7 linked regions of the Xenopus tropicalis genome follow. The protein of the gene in region 5 purifies or fractionates together with the protein of the main gene of each other region. This does not show direct contact. Links are inferred from orthologs where the notes say so. Each region holds a gene or a part of one and is shown on either strand. Other genes may lie near its edges. The genes, in order: asb2, rab40b, cops3, asb6, cul5, socs7 and spsb4.

What was found.
Region 1: the proteins of cul5 (region 5) and asb2 purify together in Homo sapiens (affinity purification with western blotting; 5 studies listed by BioGRID and IntAct, counting the BioPlex papers as one, with this or other methods). This does not show direct contact. The link is inferred for Xenopus tropicalis from reciprocal best matches to the Homo sapiens genes CUL5 and ASB2.
Region 2: the proteins of cul5 (region 5) and rab40b purify together in Homo sapiens (affinity purification with mass spectrometry; 5 studies listed by BioGRID and IntAct, counting the BioPlex papers as one, with this or other methods). This does not show direct contact. The link is inferred for Xenopus tropicalis from reciprocal best matches to the Homo sapiens genes CUL5 and RAB40B.
Region 3: the proteins of cul5 (region 5) and cops3 purify together in Homo sapiens (affinity purification with mass spectrometry; 3 studies listed by BioGRID and IntAct, with this or other methods). This does not show direct contact. The link is inferred for Xenopus tropicalis from reciprocal best matches to the Homo sapiens genes CUL5 and COPS3.
Region 4: the proteins of cul5 (region 5) and asb6 purify together in Homo sapiens (affinity purification with mass spectrometry; 6 studies listed by BioGRID and IntAct, counting the BioPlex papers as one, with this or other methods). This does not show direct contact. The link is inferred for Xenopus tropicalis from reciprocal best matches to the Homo sapiens genes CUL5 and ASB6.
Region 6: the proteins of cul5 (region 5) and socs7 purify together in Homo sapiens (affinity purification with mass spectrometry; 4 studies listed by BioGRID and IntAct, counting the BioPlex papers as one, with this or other methods). This does not show direct contact. The link is inferred for Xenopus tropicalis from reciprocal best matches to the Homo sapiens genes CUL5 and SOCS7.
Region 7: the proteins of cul5 (region 5) and spsb4 purify together in Homo sapiens (co-immunoprecipitation; 4 studies listed by BioGRID and IntAct, counting the BioPlex papers as one, with this or other methods). This does not show direct contact. The link is inferred for Xenopus tropicalis from reciprocal best matches to the Homo sapiens genes CUL5 and SPSB4.

Annotation. Positions count from the first base shown.
Region 1 is NC_030684.2:88,133,093-88,137,307, forward strand, and holds the start of asb2 (ankyrin repeat and SOCS box protein 2), read right to left. Parts: upstream 2,801-4,215; 5' UTR 2,571-2,800; intron 1-2,570. UniProt on the Homo sapiens protein: Substrate-recognition component of a SCF-like ECS (Elongin-Cullin-SOCS-box protein) E3 ubiquitin-protein ligase complex which mediates the ubiquitination and subsequent proteasomal degradation of target proteins.
Region 2 is NC_030686.2:48,032,037-48,036,264, forward strand, and holds the start of rab40b (ras-related protein Rab-40B), read right to left. Parts: upstream 2,801-4,228; 5' UTR 2,785-2,800; intron 1,347-2,784; 5' UTR 1,231-1,346; coding exon 1,089-1,230; intron 1-1,088. UniProt on the Homo sapiens protein: RAB40B small GTPase acts as substrate-recognition components of the ECS(RAB40B) E3 ubiquitin ligase complex which mediates the ubiquitination of target proteins.
Region 3 is NC_030685.2:15,774,622-15,778,121, reverse strand, and holds part of cops3 (COP9 signalosome complex subunit 3), read right to left. Parts: intron 3,087-3,500; coding exon 2,907-3,086; intron 2,046-2,906; coding exon 1,905-2,045; intron 1,423-1,904; coding exon 1,249-1,422; intron 1,139-1,248; coding exon 1,052-1,138; intron 396-1,051; coding exon 282-395; intron 1-281. UniProt on the Homo sapiens protein: Component of the COP9 signalosome complex (CSN), a complex involved in various cellular and developmental processes.
Region 4 is NC_030684.2:22,271,566-22,275,661, forward strand, and holds the start of asb6 (ankyrin repeat and SOCS box protein 6), read right to left. Parts: upstream 2,801-4,096; 5' UTR 2,720-2,800; intron 2,404-2,719; 5' UTR 2,353-2,403; coding exon 2,231-2,352; intron 2,150-2,230; coding exon 1,974-2,149; intron 1,443-1,973; coding exon 1,336-1,442; intron 709-1,335; coding exon 600-708; intron 467-599; coding exon 380-466; intron 1-379. UniProt on the Homo sapiens protein: Probable substrate-recognition component of a SCF-like ECS (Elongin-Cullin-SOCS-box protein) E3 ubiquitin-protein ligase complex which mediates the ubiquitination and subsequent proteasomal degradation of target proteins.
Region 5 is NC_030678.2:159,962,315-159,965,814, reverse strand, and holds part of cul5 (cullin-5), read left to right. Parts: intron 1-2,668; coding exon 2,669-2,778; intron 2,779-3,500. UniProt on the Homo sapiens protein: Core component of multiple cullin-5-RING E3 ubiquitin-protein ligase complexes (ECS complexes, also named CRL5 complexes), which mediate the ubiquitination and subsequent proteasomal degradation of target proteins.
Region 6 is NC_030686.2:10,984,498-10,986,843, reverse strand, and holds part of socs7 (suppressor of cytokine signaling 7), read right to left. Parts: intron 1,223-2,346; coding exon 1,102-1,222; 3' UTR 1,063-1,101; intron 1-1,062. UniProt on the Homo sapiens protein: Substrate-recognition component of a cullin-5-RING E3 ubiquitin-protein ligase complex (ECS complex, also named CRL5 complex), which mediates the ubiquitination and subsequent proteasomal degradation of target proteins, such as DAB1 and IRS1.
Region 7 is NC_030681.2:123,623,032-123,626,997, reverse strand, and holds the start of spsb4 (SPRY domain-containing SOCS box protein 4), read right to left. Parts: upstream 2,801-3,966; 5' UTR 2,291-2,800; intron 1-2,290. UniProt on the Homo sapiens protein: Substrate recognition component of a SCF-like ECS (Elongin BC-CUL2/5-SOCS-box protein) E3 ubiquitin-protein ligase complex which mediates the ubiquitination and subsequent proteasomal degradation of target proteins.

The sequences.
Region 1 (4,215 bases), on a different chromosome or scaffold from region 5:
AATTAATCTGTTTTAAAAAAGAAAGAAGCCATCTATTGCATGCTGTTTACCACTAAACTTCTTGTGACCAATAAATGTTTTGCATGCAACACCACAAATTTAGTTAGAAACTAGCTCCTGCTCTGTCATATGGGTGCACATTGTTTCAACTCTGACTTTTCTAATGAATATTAAGTGATGCAGGGTGACTCTGAAACTGTTTCCCCCCTTGGCTTGGTGGTTACACCAAGGTTTCAACGGTGGCTTGCATCAATAGATGCACCAGACTTGGGTCCAGTAAGTTGAATGCAAATGCCATTTTAAATGTACACCTTTACCCTGGAAATGCTATATGCATCTTGCACCTGATTTGCATCAGTATTCAAGCACACTGTGCTGGAATTGTGTGTAATTGTGGCAACAAAAATCAGGCACAATGCTGGAATTGTGGCACAAAACTTGATGAATTGTGTCCAAAATTGCACTTTTCACACTGTTGTAAATGACTCCTTTAGTATTATATTTACAAGGTTACTTAGCATTCGGGGTGTTCATCACTTAGGTTTCTTAATAAGAAATTTGCAATTGAAGTTTGACCTTGTCTAGATCATAGTCATTTCTCTTATTTATATTTTAATAGGTACAAACTTGGCTTGAGCACAACTCATTTAGAGCTGGAAAGTATAATATAACCTCAAGCTAAGCACTGATTGTAGAGTGGATACATACAAAAGAATTCCTTAAAATGCCTTATACAAAAAGATTTACTTTCACTTGATTTATAATGAATTATCAGTAAGTTAAATGATATTGATTACTCTGTGTACAGTCTTATGTATGTTAAATTATTAATACGAATGTGATCAGCAGTTTATTGTTATCTTGAAAGCTGTAATTAAATCCCATCTATAAACAGTGTATTCGTAAACACCTTTAAAATCAACCTGCAGCCAAATCAACCATTTTGTGCAACCTTTAGCTGGCCACATATAGACAGTAATGTTGTCCAATAACAGGACTTCATTACATCACAAGGGGTGACATACATAACATCATAGCTATCTTGAGTCTCTAAGCCACTTACATCTGATGTTTGAAAACTTGATAACATGTACTTATAATCTTAGGAGGCATTCTGTTAAATAGGACAGAGAAATGTAAATGTATTACTAAAGTTATATCATATTGCCTTGGCTGGAGGCTTGTGTAATTTTCCCAGCACTGATCCCAGTAAGCAAGCTCAGCAGTTCAGCACAGTGCATATCGTTTTACAGTGTGAACCTTGCAAAATACAACACTCTTTTAAACATGAGCAACTGCCAACTTCCATTTAACTTCATTCATCACTGTAATTCAAAGCAGGATCCTGTTGCAGAGATTTTGCTCCTTGGTTGTTATAAAAAAAGATACATGATAAATGTTGTTATAGTGTAATTAGTCAGCCTCAGAAGTTCCCTTTATGTAAGTTCCCTCTTACGTATAATGATACATGATCTGATAAATTGCTTGATGTTTACTTATAGGTTTTAACAGCTGACTGAACTGTGGTTAAGCAACAGTCAGACATAATAACATGTTTCACTTATGCAATATCACTTAATACGGGAAACTAAATTTGAAGCACCAATATTGGCATCTTCCAAAGATCAAACCTAGCAAGTAAACAAATCCAGAGCAGCACCATCTGTCAGTCTATATAAAACTGCCTGTGAAATAAATTTGGCCAGGAGAACACTGTATATTCATCATTACCAGGTCAAATGTAGTTCCGTGGCAAAGACCAGCCTGTCTGTCTAGATCAATGACACTGACTTGCTTGGCCTGACCATGCATCTTTATCCAATGTCAGTGCACCTTGTACTGCACCACACTACATGTCATATTGCTATTGATAAGCTACTTACTGCACAGTAGATCAATGTTGGAAAAGCTGTGCCTGACATCCTTTCATGTTCAAAGTTGCAGTTTATCAACTAAAAAGCTAAAAATAGGAAAAAAATCTCTTTCTGTTGGTTATTTTTTTTTTGTTATGGTAATTATTTTTAATCTTAGCAAGGTATTTCTAAATATGGTTCCTTTCTGTGACCCTTAATTGGAATGGCAAAGAAGTGAAAAAGCAGCGAAAATGCATGGCTGTATGTGTATACTTTTTAAAAGGATTTCATTTTTTTTTAAATATTTGCAAGAATAAAATAACTTGGCTGATTGCTGGAGACTGCTACATTCCTTGCAAGTTACTGCCCAGACATTAAGTTAAGACTCTGTGCTCAGTCTCGGTCTGGGATTGCCAGTGGTATAGGTAGCCAAGCTAAATTAAAAGCATGAATAGCATTTTAAATAAAATGACTATAGTGATTTGCAAATAAATTATAATTTAAGAAGAGAAGCATTCTTAATCCTTGAATACATAAAAAAGAAAATGGAAGCTCTCAGAGCAAAGTACAAAGTTTGCTCTAACTTGCTTTAATTATTTGCCTTCTCATATTTGTTTTCTCTGTAAAACACCAAATACTTCATTGAATAGTATTCAGTGCAGCATTATAAAAGAATGCATTGTTTGAGGATGCTGGTAGAATGCATGCTAGCGTTACCTTTATATTTCCAGGAGAATGAAATGAGCTTGTTAAAGTGCCTAGGGCTCACAGACAGCCCATAAGTTGCACCCTTGTCCTCCCCTGCAGCAGGTTGCCTCTGCCTCTGCGAAACTGCCCTGTAACACAGACTTTGTAGGCTACAGTTTATTTCTGGAGCACCGCATGATCAGACACGACAAGCCAAAACTCTGTCATGTAGCTCAGATTTCTTATGCAGAGATTAGAAGAGCCAGCTCTGCCATCCAGAATAATATTCCCTGTTGCATTGGCCTGCAGCAGATATTACTGGATCCCGTGGAGAAGTTGCACAGAGGGCTCACTCCTCCCTTGTCTCATTGTTTATACATCCTGACAATAGGCCTTATAAGGATACATTCTTAAGAAAAAAAGAAATGATTTTGGTATTCTTCCTTAGAGGTATCTGAGCCAAGTCATCACTTGTAACAAGTCCTTGATTTCCAACTGAACACTTAAAATTATTTGGCACAATCCCAGACTCATGCCATATAAATATATGTTTTAATTCCTTCTTCCAGAAGGAATGCAATAACAGTTGGAAAGATTTTATTGTTTAGACGTAAACGTAATTTTCTTTTAATTGTAACTTTTTTTTGGCTCAGTCAAACATTTGTTTTCTATATTCTGTGAAAAAAAAGTACAGAAAATGGCTGATTGTAAATTAAAGGCATATTTACAAGAGGCTGTTAATTGTGTACAGTGTGGAAGAACCACAGGTATATGTAGGCATTTGCATATGACTGTAATGAATTACAATTTCCAATGCTAAATACATGTCCTGTTCTTCAGCATGGAGAAAGCAGTTTCTTTTTGCACATGCAGACCTACCTCTCTGAGAGCTCTTCCACTGGAACATCCTCCTTTTGGTATGAGTGGAAAGATAATGCCTCCAGATGCAAGAATATGTCCTTTTCTTTCAAAACTTCACTGGAATGGTTTGGTAGTTTTCTTTGCCTTTTACAATATGCCCCATACATTATGGCTATGACTAAGTACCCCTCTTGGTACAAAATGTGTAAGGCTTTTTGGCATTGTGTACGGACATAATAAACTGAAAATGTTTTGACTCTAAATTGAGCTGCTTTGAAACATGTTTTGGTGATCCTGAGTGCCTGCCTGCATTTCCAGTGTATACTTTATTAATAACACAAGTTTAGATCTGCAGTATGTATTGCTTTTTGGTGTATATTTAGAATACACCTGAGAGCCATCTCTTAATAAAGCACACTCAATTGGGTACCTATTTAGCAGCACACATATAAATCAGCTGACATAGATAGGTGATGCAAAGTTTGATCATGTGGCTACTGTGTACCTTCAGATTTTCAGGTTGCCCACACCCTATAGGACCCTCCTTTGCAGTGCACCTTTAAGGTGTCCACACACATAACAAGTGAACCTTTATATTACCCACAGAGTGCTCCTTTAGGCCAGCCATACTAATGTAAATTTCAATCACCTATACATTTTCATGTTTGTCAGTAACAATGCACATAAAAAATTATTTATATAGTGAAATGGTCAAGCATTTGTGAAACAAGGCAGATGAAGAATGGAGTTTTAACATAGAAAAAACTACGTATGTTGTAAAAGTGACAAAAATAAAAAAGTGCAAAAGAATGGT
Region 2 (4,228 bases), on a different chromosome or scaffold from region 5:
AATACTTCATTTACCCCCTGTCCTTGGCAGACCCACAAGGCACATGTGTTATAGGAATCTTATATCTAAATACAGAGGATCGGTAAATACACAGCATTAGGGAGAATGAGCAGATTTCTCCCTGTGAATGTAAAAGTGCAGTGACTGGGGGCAATTGCATTGTGGGGGGTGTCGCACCTGACTGCAAGATATATATATATATATATATATAGTCACTTGATCCCCTGCCGTGCTAATGGCCAGCTGTCTCCCTAACAGGGGGCACTGACATCTACAAGCCAGATAAAAGCCCCTGAGTGTCTTTAAATATCCCTCAGACTCTGTGCCGAGGCCCAAAAATCTATTCTTAAATACGGCTTAGGGAGGAATTCCAAGCATCTGGTTCTGTTACCTTAAAGGGGTTGTTCACCTTTAAATTAACTTTCAGTATCATGTAGCGATTCTGAGACCATTTGCAATTGGTTTCCATTAATTGGAGTTTAATTTAACTATTTCTTCAGCAGCTCTCCAGTTTGGAATTTCAGCAGCAAACTGGTTGCTAGTGTCCAGTTTAGCCTAGCAACCAGGCAGTTGTTTGAAAGAGAGAAAGGAATATGGATAGAGGAGGGCCTAAATAGAAAGATAAGTAATAAAAAGTAACAATACAATTCGCAGAGCAATAGTTCTTTGGCTGCCGGGGTCAGTGACCCTCATTTAAAAGCAGGAAAGAGTCAGAAGAGGAAGGTAAATAATAAGGCTGAGGGCATAGTCTCTGCTGGCGTTCCCAGCGTGTGCCAGGGTGTAGTGCCCGGTTAGTGGGGCTGAAGAGGGGGTGTTGGGCACAGGGTGATGGGAGCCCAGCCTACTAGGCCACCAGTAGCCACAGCACATGGGATATGTCCCGGCACATAACTCAGGACGCGGATAAGAGTGATGAGTTACAGGGATTATGGGATGGGAATGCCACTGTTGCACCTGCTGATGCCCATCACCCTATAGACTGGCACTGAATGGGCATTAAATGCCAACTGTGTGTGAGCTAAGCACCAAAATATCCCCCGTTCCCCCAGGATACAAGCAATTATACTATCTACCATCACAGCACTTACCCATATTGTAACCGTAAGGTGACTCTGTGCATCCATCCTGCAGGCTTGCCAGTATCTCCCCTTTGCCAACATCACTGTCCCCAACCAAAAGGAACTTCAGCAGGAAGTCATAGGCTTTCACTGGGCTGGCTCTGTGGGTCATCCTCTTCCCCGAGGCACACACGGTTACAGGCCTTCTCCATCAGCCCATCATGGCAGAAGCACGTAAGTAATTTCACAGGAGCACTCCGGCTGGGAAACTCATGCCAATGTGTTCAGCTTGAGGGAGAACCAAAAGGAAATTACTGTAAGCAGCAGTCCTGCCCTGCTTTATGGCTGAGATTCTAGCTATCTGTATAACAGAGCATTCTGTCACAGTGGCACAGATCCTATCTGATCCCCCCATTGTAAGCAGCAGCCCTGCCCTGCTTTATGGCTGAGATTCTAGCTATCTGTATAACAGAGCATTCTGTCACAGTGGCACAGACCCTACCGGATCCCACCCATTGTAAGCAGCAGTCCTGCCCTGCTTTATGGCTGAGATTCTAGCTATCTGTATAACAGAGCATTCTGTCACAGTGGCACAGATCCTATCTGATCCCCCCCCCCCCCCATTGTAAGCAGCAGTCCTGCCCTGCTTTATGGCTGAGATTCTAGCTATCTGTATAACAGAGCATTCTGTCACAGTGGCACAGATCCTATCTGATCCCCCCATTGTAAGCAGCAGCCCTGCCCTGCTTTATGGCTGAGATTCTAGCTATCTGTATAACAGAGCATTCTGTCACAGTGGCACAGACCCTACCGGATCCCACCCATTGTAAGCAGCAGTCCTGCCCTGCTTTATGGCTGAGATTCTAGCTATCTGTATAACAGAGCATTCTGTCACAGTGGCACAGACCCTACCTGATACCCCCAAACCAATATTACTTAAAGATAACATCCAAGTATTAAGAACCCTGCACAATAGTCAAATGCAGGTAAGCCCCATCCATACAGGACAAAACTCTGCTCAGGTCTTGCTCGCTAGTAAGTGAAATCATACCTATTATCATGGCTTAGCCTGACAGCTCATTAGGCATTTAGGGCAGTGTGGGCAGCTGTATTACATGTACAGAAGGGGGGCGAGAGTGGCATTTAGCTCTATGGTTACATCTTGCCCTCCTGTCTTCCCACCTGACTGCCACCAACTTGCCCTACTGATGCCATCTTGCCCCACTGTGCCAACTGTCCCCTGCCCTTCCCTGCTCTTCCCAATATACTGCCCTGGGCAGCCTGCCTATTTGGTACCCACCTGTATATAAGTGTATGTACATTCAGTCTGTACTGAGCAGCTGTCAGTGGGGGGTGGGGGGGGGGCGTTATTTAGTACTGTTCCTTATAGAACAGGGCTCCACTGTTCTAAGTGTATGTAAATATATATGTATACATGGTACATGTACGATAGAAGTATGGTACGTATGTATATGTGTATGTATGTATGTGCATAGTGTGTATGTAAGTGTATGTAGATATAGGTATGCCTGTGTGTATATATACATATGAAGCTGCTGAGGGGGAGGTGTGTATGTTTATATACACAGATGTAAGTGAGCACACACACACACACACCTTATTACCCCACCCCACCCCCACAATACATTTACCCCATACACAGCTGAGACTGCCCCACAGGTTAGACAGGGCAAAGCCCGGGGCAGTGCCATACAGTAGCACCTACCTGTCCCTCCAGCTCCTGCCTCGCTACATCCTGCTCTGGGAACTGCTGGGCTGCGCTCCCTATGCAGCTCCTCTCCCGCCTCTCCCCCACTCTCATTGGTCTCTAGCTCAGTTGCTAAGGGATTGGCCACACCAGATTGGCTGCAGCAACCATCCATCATGGGACGGAGGCGTTAGGAGATATTCACACACACACACATACACACACTCACTAGTACATAATAATTTCCCATTTCTGATACAATGTTCCGTGTGAGTGTTCCCGTTGCTAAGTGCCAGTTTAGCTGTATGATATATACGTTATATTGATACAATGGGAGGAGCCCAGACCCCGGGGCAGTTACACACAATCCCCCCACAGAAACCAATTCTATACATAAAGCTTTGTCTGATACACAAACCCACTTACCCCCGGCTGGGGCGCTTATCCAGATCAGCAGGCAGTTCCCACAGTGCAATATAATCTCTCCCTCTGTCTCTCTATTAAACCGGTTCCCACTGAGTTACTGGGACCTGCCCCGGCACGTTCCCCCTCTCCTCGCTCCGTTTAGGAACCGGCCCATTTCCTACTAACAAACCTATTTTCTCTTTGCACTAACGCCGCAGTGTCGCTGATTTCCCACTGGGTTTAAATGACACAGAACCAACCTGCCTCCAACCCTGTCACCAACCTGCCTCCAACCCAGTCACCAACCTGCCTCCAACCCTGTCACCAACCTGCCTCCAACCCTGTCACCAACCTGCCTCCAACCCTGTCACCGACCTGCCTCCAACCCAGCCACCAACCTGCCTCCAACTCTGTCACCAACCTGCCTCCAACCCTGTCACCAACCTGCCTCCAACCCTGTCATCGACCTGCCTCCAACCCAGCCACCAACCTGCCTCCAACTCTGTCACCAACCTGCCTCCAACCCTGTCACCAACCTGCCTCCAACCCAGTTGTGGGAATGTAGAAACCTGCACAGGTGACACCCTCACTGGTGAACACTGCTGAGTAACTGTCGGGGGGGGGGCCGTGCATGAGTCGGACACTTTCATCAACAATGAGATGATCTAATCGGCTGGGGCTGTTTTGAAACCTTATTTTCCCACAAAAGGCATTGTATAGAGAATATTATGTATAACTGACAGGAAGCCTTCAGGCTCCGCCAGTGTCACTGAATGCCTTTGCATATCGTTCAGACCCCCCCTCACCATTCTCCCAACCTGTTGGATTCAGTCCCTTGGGCTCTAGGCTATTGGCCTTCTCAATATATATAGTAGCAGTGGGATAATAGCCTCTGGGAAGGGACTGGGGCTGTGGGATAGCAGGTATAGTAGGGAGAGATGGTGCCTATAGTAGCAGTGGGATAATAGCCTCTGGGAAGGGACTGGGGCTGTGGGATAGCAGGTATAGTAGGGAGAGATGGTGCCTATAGTAGCAGTGGGATAATAGCCTCTGGGAA
Region 3 (3,500 bases), on a different chromosome or scaffold from region 5:
GGTGAATATGGATAACTAGTAACCCGGTACAACCAGAACTGCTACCTTAGCCTCACCCTCCCCTCCCCCGTTTCTTTCTCTTTCTTCCTTTCTTCTTTACTTTGTTTTTCTCTTGTTTAATTGTTTGTAATATGAAATATGCAAAATAAAATCTTTTAATTGTTAAATGTAAAGGAACCGTAAAGTTCTATCAAGTAGTGACTATTTTTAAAACTGGGTAAACATTAATAAATAAGTTTGTCACTATGACCCAATTTATATGAAACAAAGATGCGTCTCACCTCTTGATCAATATTGTGAAGCATCGCAGGATTGTTGTATTTCTCTGGGTTATCGTGAAAACACACCATGCCGTCTTTTTGATTAATACTTGCAAATATTTCACCATCTTCTATCTGGGGGAGAAAGAAGGAGGAGATGACTGCACAACAGCCTAAATCTGAGCAGCAGCAAACCCAGTGACAGTGACCTATGGTACAATATGGCAGCTCTCTTTACAGGTGATAGAAAAACCTATGGAGGCTTTTATGGATCTATCCCCAATGATAACATACCATAGCCCCTTGACTGTCAGGCCTCACACTTGGATAACTGTAATATCATTATCGTATACAGTTTGTTCATTTCCCTATTAAGACCAAACTGTAAATTATATCCTAACAAATGGTGCTTAGTGATGTAATCAGTTATAACCAGAGCTTAGTGATTTCTGTCACATGACTAACTAAAACTTGTATATTATAATAAATAAAGTACCCCCCTGTTGTAAAATATTAGGATATTAGAAGTCACCTTGGAGTTCTATCACCTGTATAAAGGTCATGGAACTCCTTGGTGACTTATAATATCCCTGTATTTTACAATAGGGGGTACTTTATTCACTATATAAATGCAATAAAAGTCTAACATCAATTGAAAAAGGAAAACTAGACAGAGGCTCAGCACAGTCTGTCCATTACACTTCCAAGTGATGCCAATTTCCTTTTGGCCCACACTATATTTAACAGCAATAATAAAGGAAGTTGGGAGAAGCAACCATTTCCCTTCTTACCATGTACAGCACATATTTTTCTGCCTCCTGAGCACCGGACAACTGAACTCGACTAGCCATGTCTTGTAACGACAGCGTTAAAAATGTCTGCAATGAGAGGGGTAGCCGTTAAACATTTTATGAACAAACTACACAGCATAAAAACAATACAAGTGAGGGTTCTTATCCCTGTGCGCTGAGGAGTGAAAGGCACTTACTTTGGTAAGTCTCTGAATGTTCTTCTTGTAGAGGGATGACAGGCATTGCTTGACCAGCCCCATGTTGTTGTCCCTGGTAAAGGTTTCGTTGTGTTTGCTTACAAGATTCCGCAGCTCTGCTGGGTTATTGGTTGAATAGACTTGTGCTAACTCATGGTAAGCATTGCTAAGAGGCTGCAACGGAAGATGAATAAACATTCATTTCTACAGGTCTGTAAAATTACATAACATTAAGGATTAAAGGGGACCTGTTGTATTTGTCAAGCAAAAGCAACTTCACTTCCACTATATAAATTATATAAATCTTGTTTCCTTCAGTCTTGGAATTACACAATCACAGAAAGCAGGCAGGCACCATTTTGTGGGCACTGTTATTAAGGCAAGTTTTGTATCACCCCAAAACCTTGTGTATGTGCCAGATTGGGGGGGCCTGATGCCCATGCAATGGCTACAGATTTAGATGGTGAGGAAGGAGGGGGAAAGTGAAGGGGTAAAGAAAAGTTAAAGTAATTGTTCTCCCCACCTCTATGGATTAAAAACTATTTAAAAGGGTTACAAAAGTCCCTGCTTACAAGTACTTACAATCATGAGAAATTAACTTGCTGTATTTTCACACAACAAAATACATCTAAGCAAATCTACTAGTTCCAGCTTACCTTGATAAATCTACCGACAATTTGCGAGGTATATTTAGGTAGCTGCTGAACCTTTCCATGGAGTATCAAGGAAACTAGAATATACTTTTTATAGGCTTCCAGCATTATGTGACTAACAGCCATGGCTGGAGTAGTTATAGCCTGCAGAAACAAACCAAGCAAAATCATTACAGGGGTTAACAACATTTCATTTCATTCCATTTGACCTACTAATAATGCAAGACTATACAGGAAAAAAATGCTTAATATTGATTAAGCACAAGTTACTGCCATATAAACCGTGCTATGGTGGCATATTAATCTTGCTACACTGCGTAGAGCAGCCATTGGCATGCATAACTGATGCTACAATTATATATTCAGTGGGGGTCATTTATAAACACTGAGCAAATTTGCACCTGGGCAGTAACCCATAGCAACGAATCAGTGATTACATTTATTCAGCAGCTGCAGACAGAACAACTGAAGCAAACATCTGATTACTTGCCATGGGTTACTGCCTAGGTGCAAATTTGCCCAGTGTTTATAAAACAGCCCATTTGTCACAAGCCACCATAACCCTTTCATGCCACACAGCAGAAGAAAAAGCCATGTTGTTTACTCTTTGTAGGACACATGCCATGTTGAGATGGCAATCAAAATGGTAGCTTATCGGCCCGTGTAGGGGCACTAACGACAGGCCTGCCTGACATCTGGCCTGAAATTGGCAAGATATCAATCTGGCAGGTTTAAAAATCCGTCGGATTAGGGACCACATCAGCTCGTTGATGAGGTTCCCAAACCGACAGACGCCTATACCCATCGCTCTAATTCGATCGTTTGGCTCCAGGGCCAAACGACAGAATTAACCCGATATCGCCCACCCGTAGGTGAGGATATTGGGAGAAGATCCGCTCACTTGGCGACCTCACCAAGGATCTTAGCGTGTATGGCCACCTTAAGACGCCATTCAATCTGCATTAGAGAGCCGGCTAGGCCTCAGAAACTAAAAAACAACTGTACCTGCTCATAAAAATACAGTGCTCTCTCGAAGTTCTTCAAGCCTGTGTAAATCATCCCGCCGTAATAGTAGTAACACAGGAAGGGCTTGGCATCGTAAGCGCCATTCTCTTTGCAAATATCCATCATATCTACATCTAGGTACGCAAGTGCAGGCTTAAAACATTTCGCTAAGAGAGAGAGCTACAAAGGAAAATGTAGAAATCAGAACAGTGAAATGCTACAGTTTTACATTTGCTGATGCTAAAATTGCACAAGTTTTTGCTAAAAATAGGTAATAGCTAAAATAAAATACTCCTGAACCAATGTAGTAGAAGCCAGCTAATTAGCAGGCCTGGAGGAGAGATTGTTTCAAGAGTCACAACCAGAGAGAAGGAAATAAGGAATAAACCAATACTAATTCCAACTGCTATTAGGTAATCAGTGGATATCCTCCCCGCCCCTCCCAGCAGCCGATCAGCAGAACAATGGGAAGGGAGCAAGATAGCAGCTCCCAGTAGGTATCAGAATAGCACTCAATAGTAAGAAATCCAAGTCCGGCTTGGGACTCCTCCAGTTACATGGGAGTAGAAGAAACAATAGGTTAGCTGAAAGCAG
Region 4 (4,096 bases), on a different chromosome or scaffold from region 5:
CTGACCCAATACACATTATATATGTGTTGCACTGAACTATTCTTAACGGGGTAGGTCACCTTTGGTGTTTTCCAAGGAGCTAAACTAAGTGTTTGGAAGGTGAGCTCCCCCTTAAAGGCTTGGACCAAAAACGGTTCAAATACTATACTATGGGCCTATGCGGACCAGTCAGGCAAACGCCAGAGAAAAGTTCTAATCCAGTACTCATATGATGCGATTAATAAGGGGTCAATATGCTGCCTACTCTCTTACCAGCGTCTGTACCACTGCCTCCAGGCACGGTTGGAACAAGGAATCTGTAGTGATCATTTGGGCCACAGTGGAATATTCCATGATCTCAGAGCACAGACAGACTGACACAAGGAAGGAACACACTCACCTCCTTCGAGCAGCAGACGGATGTTTTCTATGTTATGGATCTGAACGCCATCACTGCTGGCCAGTGCGTGTAATAACGCCGTCTTCCCTGCATAATAATCCGTTTAACATACAATGTGACTTCCCGTTTATTAAGGCGGTATTCATTCCCGAATACAAGGTCCCTGTCATTCCTGCTAAGGGAGGGGTAAAACCCAGCTTAAACCCCTAAATCCACTTACCATTTTTGTCAGCTGCATTTACATCAGCGCTGAGCTCCAGCAGGCGTTGCAGGCACGGCAGTCGCTCTGGTTCTTCACTAGCCAAGTCCAATGGACTGCTTTCATGGATCTGTATATACAGGAGGATAAAATACAAGAAAAGGTAAATTATGTGACACTGCACTTCTAGATCACCTTGTCTCACACAATGGGTTTTTGCCAAGTAAGTTGGTAGTGAGCAGCAGAAGAAATTGTTTACAATGATAAGCCAGCCTATCAGAGTTTTGTGCCTCTCCCAGGTCACTGTGCATTGGTGGAATGCAGAACCCAGAACTGGAGAGATCAGCTTTGCCTGAGGGGATAGGATTCCCTTAAGGGCCTGGCATAAGGTATAGAAACATGCTGAGTATTTCCAGTAGGGTACAGGCCACCAGGATAGAGGCCTGTGCAAGAACTCATTTTTGATATTCGGTCCCTCAGCCCACAACCTGCAACCCAAACCCACATTTTAACCTGCTTGGACCTGCTACCTAACCAGATCTGTGACTTGCTGACCACCTTTAAACTGGAAGTGACATCATCAAAAGTGGGTGGGGGTAGAAGTTTAAGAAAAAGTTTAAAGGGGTAAAATATAGATAATATAAGGACTATAGGTCGCCCACAACCTGACCCGCATCTATAACTACATCTGAAAAACCTACCCGCAGGTACCAAACCACTGCAGGACACCAGAATACAGCTGAAACTTGATCCTTACCCTGTCCCTCTTGTTAATATCAGCTCCGCTCTGCACCAACAGCTCCACCATTTCTGGCTGGTTTCTCAGTACCGCAATGTGTAGCGCCGTGTAGTAGGTCACCGGATCTGGTGAGGGAAACATTGCAAGTGAGAGTTACTTAAGCGCTACAGCTACTATATCCTCTGCACCATGGGCCAAAGCTGGTGAGCTAAATGCAAAAGGTGCTGCAAAGCCACTCTAGATTGGCTGAAAGTGACTTGGCCAACCCATTAGCAGCACACAAGCCACAGCCTGATAAACAGATTCATAACATACTGGTGGCCATACATACACATGGCCACAATCTAACATTCCTTTTGTTCAAGCCACCAACCCAACCAATCAGAACTGCAGAAAGTGAAGAGGAGCTGCGGATCCAGGGTCGGACTGGCTTCCACAGTTCCAGAGTCTCCCTATGGGCCCCCAAGCTGTGACAGTTTCTATCAGCCCCTTCTTATTTCCTCCACAATATCTAATTGCCCTAATGTCAGGTTCTAAGGTCTGACTGTCCCACTTGGTCGGTCAACATGCTCAAAATCATTGGAATCATCCAACCAAACCTTGGCCACCTTTAAACTAACTAGAAACATAGTTTATTAGGAGCTCACCATACCTACCCTCAAAGCTGAGATCTGCCCCAAACTGCAGGAGGATTTTGGCCGACGGAACCATCCCCAGCTCGGCCACCTTCAGCAGCGAGTAACTGACTCCCTCCTTGTAAAAGGAAGACTGAGAATGCCTCTCCAGTAACTCATTCAGCGCCAGGAACTCCTCACTCTCTCCAACCAGGAAACTAAAAGCAGAAAATACACGTGATTCCAGGCCACCAATAGCATGGTACTCTAAGCGCTTACTAATGATAAGGCTCCAATACCTGCTTCTGGTGTCTGCCGCCACCGGCTGTTCAGGGTCCTGAATACCCAGAGCCCCCAGGATCTCATCCACCAAAGGCTGGTACTCGAATATAATCCTCCGAAAGCCATGGAGGAATGGCATAGTGGCAAGAGAGTCTCAATCTTCCACCACCAGCAGAACTGCTGCCTGGTCCTTCAGTACAGAAAAAAACACAGGCAGGTGTGAGTCAGTCATAGGGCTGTTTCCTCTTCCCACCTCCACATTATTAGAAACCCAGAGAAGGCTAATGTAAGGTCAAATAGCATAACCATAACACTGCATTATAACTAAGTAGCACATAGCCTAAAGCCCTCACACGGTCCCTGGCCCTGCACTGGGCTCACAACAAAATAAGGATTTCTGCGTTTTGACTTGATGGCGATCACATTCAAACATTTTGGGACTATTTTAAGTCACAACTATGACATCTATGCGCCCCATGCAACATACACAAACATCTCCCACTTACCTACGCCCCGCCGGAAGCTGCTCTGCTGAATACGGAACACAGAGCTCCTCAGCGAGTGGGCGTGGTTGTTGGACGTGCTGTAGGCGCAGGCGCACCAGAATGAAGGAGATGGCGATGCGTTATGTAGGACAGCAGAGGGCGCTCGCCAATTAGCTAATGAGCCGTGAGCCGTGCCGGCAAATGCTGTAAATTGTTTCATATTAGGACTGAAATGTGAGACTGCCGGGGTTGGGGGGAATCGGAAGAGTCCATCCTGCCAGGGGTTAGTTAGTAAGTAGCCTGGCTAGCGGGGCGGGTAGCTCATACTGATACATATATAGATATATTAATTACAGGGGGTTGGAAAATTATTTTTTATGTAATCCTGTTAGAAGCAGTATAGGCCTGGCTGTTTCTCCTCTCGACATTGCTGATTCTGACTCCTTAAACAGTGTAGCAGAAGCCAACTGACTAACACTTAACTTTTGCTACATTGTTTCAACAGTCAGAACCAGAGAAGGGAAAAGGCAAATACATGTTTGGTGGAGGGAGGTCCTCATAGGCCTGATTTAGTGCCAGTGGGTGTCACCACTGTGCTATTAGGGTCATACACTTGATTCTAGCCCTATATCATTTACCTAATAATCACTGTGGCACCAAGCCTGGCAAAATCATTGCCTTTTGGCAACCGTAATCAGGTAGGGCAGCACGTTAAGCAGCCTAGCAGCCTCTCATGCCTTAGGAGGCTGTTCCCGCTGAATTTTGCTTAGTACAGGGGAATCCCTATTCTGCCATACATAGTAAGTTAGGTTGAAAAAAGACGTACTTCCATCACGTTCATGCCTATATATAACCTGCCTAACTTCTAGTTGATCCAGAGGAAGGCAAAAAACACCATCTGAAGCCTCTCTAATTTGCCGCAGGGGAAAAAAATTCCTTACTGACTCCAAGATGGCAATCGGACCAGTCCCTGGATCTCCCATAACCCTGTATTCCCTCACTTGTTAAGTAGCCATCCAACCCCTTCTTAAAGCTATAAGAATCCTTTCCGAATATTTAAACGGAACCTACCTACTTCTAAACGGAGTGGGTTCCCTACTGGTAAATAAAGTATTAGAGAGGTTATTATATGATCCCCTTATATATTTATACATAGTTATCACGTCACCTCTTAAGCGCATCTTGGCCAGTCTTTCTTCATAACTGAGACTTTCCATACCCTTTACCAGCTTAGTTGCCCTTCTCTGGACCCTCTCTAATTCAATAATGTCCTGTTTAAGCACTGGAGACCAAAACTGAACATCATATTCTAGATGGGGCCTTACCAGCGCTCTGTAAAGGGGAAAAATAACACCCTCCTCCCGTGAATCTATACCCCTTTTAATACAGCTCAAAACC
Region 5 (3,500 bases):
AGAACAGCCCTATTGGGTTTATTTAATGGTTAAATGATTCCCTTTCTCTGTAATAATAAAACAGTACCTGTACTTGATCCCAACTAAGATATAATTACCCCTTATTGGGGGCAGAACAGCCCTATTGGGTTTATTTAATGGTTAAATGATTCCCTTTTCTCTGTAATAATAAAACAGTACCTGTACTTGATCCCAACTAAGATATAATTACCCCTTATTGGGGGCAGAAGAGTCCTATTGGGTTTATTTAATGGTTAAATGATTCCTCTTTCTCTGTAATAATAAAACAGTACCTGTACTTGATCCCAACTAAGATATAATTACCCCTTATTGGGGGCAGAACAGCCCTATTGGGTTTATTTAATGGTTAAATGATTCCCTTTTCTCTGTAATAATAAAACAGTACCTGTACTTGATCCCAACTAAGATATAATTACCCCTTATTGGGGGCAGAAGAGTCCTATTGGGTTTATTTAATGGTTAAATGATTCCCTTTTCTCTGTAATAATAAAACAGTACCTGTACTTGATCCCAACTAAGATATAATTACCCCTTTTTGGGGGCAGAACAGTCCTATTGGGTTTATTCAATATTTGAATGATTTTTAGTAGACTTAAGTTATGGAGATCCAAATTACAGAAAAATCCCTTATCCAGAAAACCCCAGGTCCCGAGCTTTCTGGATAACAGGTCCCATACCTGTAATTGGATGCCAGTATGGAAGAGTTTAATGTCGTATTGGTTGGGCATTTGGTTTCCCTTCCTTCATGTATGGCAGGGATCCCAGGCAACTTGTAGCCATTCCTGAGATTAGTCGCCCACAGTAGCCGAAGTTTAACCTCAGGCAACTGATCTCTGTGTGCCATTGCCCTTAAGGCCCTCAAAACACTGTGCTTGCTGTGCCCTTGCAGTTGTGTTCCTGCACTTCTCCCCGCAGTGAGTTGCATATTGAACCCCATTTTGCAAAGGTATGGGGACGTCATGCTGAGCACTGAAAATAATGCTAGGTACAATTCTGCACAGTAGCATCATATGCAATGCCCCTTGCGACTGCAATGGTCTTGGCATTCTGGTAAAAAAAACACTGAGAAAAAAACATGGCACTTGCTCACTGCACTTGTGGGCGTAAATGGATCCCCATTATTTATAAATGTACAGTAAGTGTTAAACATTTGGTATCCTTACTGCTATTTAATAGGTTGGTGCACAGTAGATATTGTTCCCATTTAGCACCCTCAGCTAGACATATGGGAGAGCTAATTATGACAGCCCTTCGTTAAGGCTTCTAGCTCTGTGTAACTGAAAGGGAACGGGCCCATAGCTGGACTGGTCACGGCGCTGGCCTATTTATAGCCTGCTGCATAGCAGCCCTGTGTAGCTATTTCTGGGAAATGCCTGTTGCAGTCTGTGCAAAACCTAAAATATAACCCTGCCCAAAAATTTCTATCACTGTAGCTGCGCACAGATGTATATTGGCTTGATTCATTCGATTATCACATAAACATTTATGGCAGGGAGAAAACATTTCCAAAACAATTTTTAAAAGTAATTGGACTTAAACAATTTCTGTACCTTACATTTTAGCCATTCATGGAAACTGGCGAAATGACATGTACTGTTTTATTATTACAGAGAAAAGGGAATCATTTAACTATTAAATAATCCCAATAGGGCTGTTCTGCCCCCAATAAGGGGTAATTATATCTTAGTTGGGATCAAGTACAGGTACTGTTTTATTATTACAGAGAAAAGGGAATCATTTAACCATTAAATAAACCCAATAGGACTGGTCTGCCCCAATAAGGGGTAATTATATCTTAGTTGGGATCAAGTACAGGTACTGTTTTATTATTACAGAGAAAAGGGAATCATTTAACCATTAAATAAACCCAATAGGACTGGTCTGCCCCAATAAGGGGTAATTATATCTTAGTTGGGATCAAGTACAGGTACTGTTTTATTATTACAGAGAAAAGGGAATCATTTAACCATTAAATAAACCCAATAGGGCTGTTCTGCCCCCAATAAGGGGTAATTATATCTTAGTTGGGATCAAGTACAGGTACTGTTTTATTATTACAGAGAAAAGGGAATCATTTAACCATTAAATAAACCCAATAGGGCTGTTCTGCCCCAATAAGGGGTAATTATATCTTAGTTGGGATCAAGTACAGGTACTGTTTTATTATTACAGAGAAAAGGGAATCATTTAACCATTAAATAAACCCAATAGAGCTGTTCTGCCCCCAATAAGGGGTAATTATATCCTAGTTGGGATCAAGTACAGGTACTGTTTTATCACAGAGAAAAAGGAAATAATTTTTAAAAATCAAAATTATTTGCAAAAAATGGAGTCTATGGAAGGAAGCCTTTCTGGATACAGGGTTTCAGATAATGGATCCCATACCTGCAATGTCTATAGGAACATGTCATTATAAATTTGCTCTTGCTGACTTTTATAATTGTACTTGATATTTTATTGCTGTTTCTGTACAGAGATGTGTATGTGCACATGTATGATCACATACAAGTAATTAAGCAGGCCTTGTTCAATCAGCTAAAGGTGTCGATATGAAAGAATAACATTGGCTTGAAGTTAAATGAAAGTTTTATTTTACAGATGTAGGACCAAGGAACTATAGCTAAATGGCATTTGCTTTCTCTTACAGAATAAAGGTTCCCTTCAATTTGAGGACAAATGGGACTTTATGAGACCTATAGTTCTGAAACTTTTACGCCAGGAATCCGTCACAAAACAGCAATGGTTCGATTTGTTCTCGTAAGTATTAAGAGAAAAACTGTGCTAGTTAAAGTGATGGAGGAGAAACAATTTCCTGTAATGCCTAAAAGATAATCAAGGTGTGTATTAAAGGGCATTTGAAGGTAAATTTACCCTTTATATTACTCCTCCATGGAATCCTGCTTCCCACTCATGTACAGTGGCACAGTATGTTGCTGACTGATGACAAATATGCTTTAAACATTATTAAGCATCCACTGCACTTAATGGATTTATTATATTAATAACCATTCCTCTTTTAAACCATACTGACCTCAGATAATGGAGTTTGTAAATAAGGCAAGAAATGGCCTCACCAGGACCCCATAGCATGGGAATGGCATTTACAGGGTGAACACATATTTGGCCATGGTCTAGTAACCTGTAACAACCAACCAGATGTTTGTTTTTAGCTTACAAGTCAAATTGGCTATTATTATTATTATTAATAAAAAATAGACTTCTAAAAAAGTATTTAGGTCATTGGCAATTTTAATGCTTGAGTTACAGGAAAAAGGTTCCTGCATTAATTTGCTTCACATGCACGCAGGATCCCACAAGACAAAGCAGGATCAATCCTATGTATACAAACACTGTTCTGAGCAGTGTACACACAAGGCTATACTGCCCTAAATGTGTAGTAGCAAAGGTGGTTCTTAGTATTGTCTATGGCAGGGTATTTTCTGGCATTTTGTAGTTGCAACTAAGATTCTCGTTATATG
Region 6 (2,346 bases), on a different chromosome or scaffold from region 5:
ACCCACAACCAACCCTAACCCACTGCTCCACTACCCACAACCAACCCTAACCCGCTACTCCACTACCCACAACCAACCCTAACCCGCTGCTCCACTACCCACAACCAACCCTAACCCGCTGCTCCACTACCCACAACCAACCCTAACCCACTGCTCCACTACCCACAACCAACCCTAACCAACTACCCACAACCAACCCTAATTCACTGCTTCACTACCCACAACCAACCCTAACCCGCTGCTCCACTACCCACAACCAACCCTAACCCGCTGCTCCACTACCCACAACCAACCCTAACCCGCTGCTCCACTACCCACAACCAACCCTAACCCGCTGCTCCACTACCCACAACCAACCCTAACCCGCTGCTCCACTACCCACAACCAACCCTAACCCGCTGCTCCACTACCCACAACCAACCCTAACCCGCTGCTCCACTACCCACAACCAACCCTAACCCACTGCTCCACTACCCACAACCAACCCTAACCCGCTGCTCCACTACCCACAACCAACCCTAACCCGCTGCTCCACTACCCACAACCAACCCTAACCCACTGCCCACAACCAACCCTAACCCGCTGCTCCACTACCCACAACCAACCCTAACCCACTGCTCCACTACCCACAACCAACCCTAACCCACTGCTCCACTACCCACAACCAACCCTAACCCACTGCTCCACTACCCACAACCAACCCTAACCCACTGCTCCACTACCCACAACCAACCCTAACCCAGCATGCCTTCAAATTTATAGACCCCGCCCCCCCACGGAAGGGGGCAGGGCCAAGGAGGGGCAAGTCTATAAAAGGCTCACACCGGAGGCAGAAGTGGGCACAGGTGGGAAGAGAGCTAAAGGAAGAGCTCAACCCAAACCCGCTTGCGGCCCAGCAATGGTGTCAGAAACTTGGCGTGATCCCACCTACCCGCGGATCCCATGGGAATCGGGAAGGCCCATACATCACTACTGGGTGCCACTGACACCAGTCCCGGCTGTGGGATTCACTATAAAAGTTTTAATAAAACAATGAATAATCCAAAGACTCTATTTGCTTACCTGGTTCGGCCTATGAAGAGGGAAAGCGCGGAATCCTCGCTACGTGGAGCTCTCGCTCCCAGACTCCAATTTGTTCAGATGCCGCGCCTCCTTTAGACAAAGGTATACCTCCTCCTGGGGGTCGTAATAATAGAACTTGCGCAGGTATGAGATGAGGGGTCTGAAAAGAAAGGGACAGGATTTTGGTTTCGACATGTATTTACTAGATCGCTACTGAGATGACAAGGAAAGTACTTCTGTGCAGAAAAATGGTGAAAAAGCCATAGATCGGGATGAAATACAGATTCAAATCCTCATTTTGGACTCTGAGTTTTTAAAGGGATAGGATGACCTCTAGGTGAAATCATGACTGTCTCTTAACTAAAGCTGCATTTGGACTGACATGCCCCCCCAACACTGATGCCTCTCTAATCTGGGTCCCATCCAGAAAGGCTAAGAACCCCACCATATACACAGCCTGAGCGTCTGTGCTGGAGCTACATAAATAAATGACACTATATGAGGAATAATGATAACAGAAGCAGCTAGAATAACAGGCACAACATATAAGTTCAATGAGATGTAAGTACACGGGCAAGTGATCAAAGAGAAGGCAGCCCCCCCCCCCCCCCCCCCCAGCTAACAAGTCAGCGACCCCAGAACACTGACCCACTTCATGCGCTTATGCTAAAACAGTTCCTGCCTCTGACAGGCACCAAATGGCTTGCAAGGCTGTGAGATTGGATCAAGCCCCCCCCTCCAACCGTGCTGGAACCCACAGACCTCCCAGCTCTGCAAAAACACCACTTAGCAGGGGCTCTGTTTAGTGTTAACTGCTAATTTGGAAATGGTAATTACACAGTAGGGAAAAACTGTATTTGCACACAGACTGCAACAGTGGCAGTGACTGGGAGGTACTAAGTGCCATGTACTGTATGATAGGGCGGAACCTTCCCTTAGTGCCAGCACCCTATCCTTTGCTCCAAACCCGCACACGTCAACAAGACCCCCATGCCATACCTAGGCTGCTGATTAAAGGGGAACTCCGGCTTCCAAACCAAACTGTGTTACATCATACAGCACAGAAACCCCTAATATCACTGTAATCTTCAGAAAGTATAAATAAATACCATTTTTATATGCTGAAATCCAGCTGCAAAACAGCTCTTCTCTTTCTGCATCATTTGAAATCCTGGCAGGGGAGGAGGGACTGAAACACTGATGTTACAAATTGTAACAACTTCTCCACAGCTTACAGACAGCATGCAGGAACTACATAACCCACAATGCACTGCACTGGGATGT
Region 7 (3,966 bases), on a different chromosome or scaffold from region 5:
AGAAGACAGTCAATATACCCATAAATGTGTTATGTTTATATGTCATGTTGATGAATGTGTGTGTGTGTAGATCAAGCAACTCCATATTAATATTTATATACACCATCTGTATGCATATCTTTAATATACACAAACGCCTGCACAATTCATTGGCTATCGGACCTCATAGAGCAGTCAGCCTAATCCCCTTCCACTGCTTTGTTTCCTTAATTCAAACCATCTGAGCATTTGCCAGTTCTGGGCACTATCAGTGCAGGAACCTGGCTGTAACACTAAAATACACATGTGACCGTAATGGTCAGCGATTAGGACGTTTATGGCTATGCAAGTGGAGGCCCACATGCTGGCTGTAGCCCTTCACGAGATTTACATGCCCCCAGGCTGTTTAAGACACCCACAGACCTCTGGACATTATTAGATTACTACTAAAGTAACTGGCCCACATTACAGAAACAAATGGGTACCACCAAGGTTGTTCTGCCTACAGTACCAGTGGTTGTAACCTTCCCAATATGCCCCCATGATCCAATTATTTCAATTACAATGTGTATATGACCATGATAAAGGCTATTTAAGTCATGTAATACTGTTTTCAGATCCTGCACTTCCAAACACTAATGCTCACTGTTATATGTTCTTACCCTTAAAATCCCTACAGTTCTGCAGTGACTTTGGTACTCAGAGCTGCATAAGAATTCGCCACACACAAGCAAATAACACACACTCAATATTGCCTTTACGCAAACTTTGTATTTATACAGCCTACAATGCTCTGCAATACCTAATGGCATCACTCCCCCCAAGAACATAAACATACATGAATAATGAATGCTGGTGGGACCATAGATGTTGTATTGCCTTCAAGGGCCAAATAGCTGGCTCAGCAATGTGCTGGGCGCCCCATGCTACAGGCTTAGCTGCTTATTTGCTCCAGGCAAATTTATGACTCTCTGGAAATCTGAAGGATAAAGAGAAAGAGCCACATCTAGCCAGTGCTGCCCCATTCAATCTGCATTATTTACTGGGATCCTGCTTTCCTTGGAATTTGTAGTATATACAACTATCCTGCCATTCCACAGAAACTGCAACAGTTACAGTAAACAAACCACATCTAGCAACTTTGCAGAGAGTTCTCACATTCGCCAAGGATTACGCTTTAGCGCGTCATGAGCAGTAATATCTGGGAAGAACCACTGCAGGGATCATAAATATTCTCCCAAAGAAAGGTTATCTTTACTATTCCCCCTATGCAGAAAAGCAGGCAAGCCAATTAAGATAGATAGATTGATAGACAGATAGATAGAAAAAGATAGCTTGGTAAATGGGAAAGATACACAGGACACACAAAAAGAAAGCACAGCAAGAGACAGAGATGGTGAATGAGTTGGGTGAAACTGCTGACAATCTCGCCCTGAGATGATTAGCTAAAGACAAAGGCTAACTGTAATGCTTGCAATCACATAAACAAAGGAAGACAGGCCTTTGCCCAGAATAATTGGGTGTTCAGATTAGAACTAGCATGCTGAGCAATGATTTGGGAAGGGAGGTGTCTACAGGTGCCCAGAATCCCCCAAGTCAGAATTAACCTCTGGGCTTCCTTATGTTGGGAACATCCCATGCTATACCATATACAGCCAGTAGATGGCTCTCTGTAGTTCCATTTCCTACACTTAGTAGGCCAATTCTTTGTAAGCTGTTACAATAAAAATATGTGTGTGTCTAGAATATCCTTGTTGGCCTTCTGTTTTTGTACATTTCCAAAAGCTGATTATGTGAGTTATAGTTCACAAATAGCTTGATGGATTTACAGACATATGCAGTTGGTTAGCTGTTATTATGTATCCAGCATGAAAGCAATAATTGGACTGCATCTCTACAGCTCCTATAGTCTGTGTTCTTCAGATCCAGGCAGCTGAATACAAACTGTGTATTTATGAAGCTTGCTAGTGTTTGATAAAAAGAATAAGTGTAGTTCCCCCTCTACAAATCCATATAAGAGTGAAAGCCTGGAGCACTAGTCTTCCAACAGACTACCCCCACTCCCCCCAATAAAGATAAATCATAAAGACTGTCAGGAAAGACAAAAAGGTGGAGCTGTTTTCAAATTTAGACAGTATAATATCCCTGTGAAATATTTCTGCAATACAGTATATAGCTACACTCACTATATATTATTAAAAAAGAAAAGTAGATATGGCGCAAAGACCCTGGCAGCAAGATGCCCCCAAATGGCTGAACGGCTGCCTAGCTTCCCTGAGCAATCACTTTATGAAGTCAGACTGTATCGCACCTGAGAAGTGAGCGATCCGGCCACAGACGCATCCCATTGTTTCCCAGGGGATCGCTTCGGTACGTACCTTACAGGGTGGGATCCATACAGCCGGGAGGATAGAAAGCCACAGAGTCGGGTCTAATCCAAGGCAAAGAGAACAAGAGATGGAAGAGTAAGAGAAGCGCTAATCCCACAGCTCCCACATGTAGTGAGGGGCAAGTAAGAAGCGGGGGGCTTTCATTAGCACCAGTGGGACCCCACGAGAAGTTACTCCAGGCTGCTCTCCCCAGCGCCGCTACAGGCACCGACTGCTTGTGGGATCACAGAAAGGAGCGGAACAGCCATCCGGCAAACAATCCGCGGCCCCTCATCCCTTCCCCGGCCGCTTTGTGTTCAGAGATTGTGCCCCCCAGCTCCTCCGTACGGGAGAGACAGCCCAGATGGGAAGAGCCTGCCGCTACTGCCGCTGAGCCCCATCCTGCAAGCTGATCCCTGCTGATCTCATCAGTCACAACTAACTAATCCAATGGCCGGGGAACGGGGAACACGTAGCCACGCCCCTCTCTGCCTCCCCTCCCAGCGCACACAATGGAAGGAGCCCACCAGCTGCCGAAACTGGGAGAGATCTGCGCTCTGCTGGTGGCACTGGGGCCGGGGGGTCTGGGGCTGCTCTGCCGATCTCTCCATTGTCATGCAGCGAGGCACTGGGGCCTAAATCCCTTTGTTACTAATTGGGCTTTTGGAAGTCAAATTCCTGCCCAGCTGCGCTGATGTCAATGGGAAACTGTAACTTGTTTATGGGCTGAATAGGCCGGTCCCTTTGTACTCACATGATTGCGTGAGGGGCTGCTGTCACCTTGATAATAGTAATACTGAAATAATCTGCTTTAGTTCCTGTGCTGCTGATAATAAGGACTATAAAATATGCCATTATACTGTGCAAAACCCAAAGACCAGTAGCCTCATAAATGGTGCTTAGTGATGTCATTGCTTACAGTAGGTGCTTAGTGATGTCATTGCTTACAGTAGGTGCTTAGTGATGTCATTGCTTACAGTAGGTGCTTAGTGATGTCATTGCTTACAGTAGGTGCTTAGTGATGTCATTGCTTACAGTAGGTGCTTAGTGATGTCATTGCTTACAGTAGGTGCTTAGTGATGTCATTGCTTACAGTAGGTGCTTAGTGATGTCATTGCTTACAGTAGGTGCTTAGTGATGTCATTGCTTACAGTAGGTGCTTAGTGATGTCATTGCTTACAGTAGGTGCTTAGTGATGTCATTGCTTACAGTAGGTGCTTAGTGATGTCATTGCTTACAGTAGGTGCTTAGTGATGTCATTGCTTACAGTACGTGCTTAGTGATGTCATTGCTTACAGTAGGTGCTTAGTGATGTCATTGCTTACAGTAGGTGCTTAGTGATGTCATTGCTTACAGTAGGTGCTTAGTGATGTCATTGCTTACAGTAGGTGCTTAGTGATGTTATCGCTTATAGTAGGTGCTAAGTGATGTCATTGCTTACAGTAGGTGCTTAGTGATGTCATCGCTTACAGTAGGTGCTTGGTGATGTTATCGCTTACAGTAGGTGCTAAGTGATGTCATTGCTTACAGTAGGTGCTTGGTGATGTCATTGCTTACAGTAGGTGCTTGGTGATGTCATTGCTTACAGTAGGTGCTTAGTGATGTCATTGCTTACAGT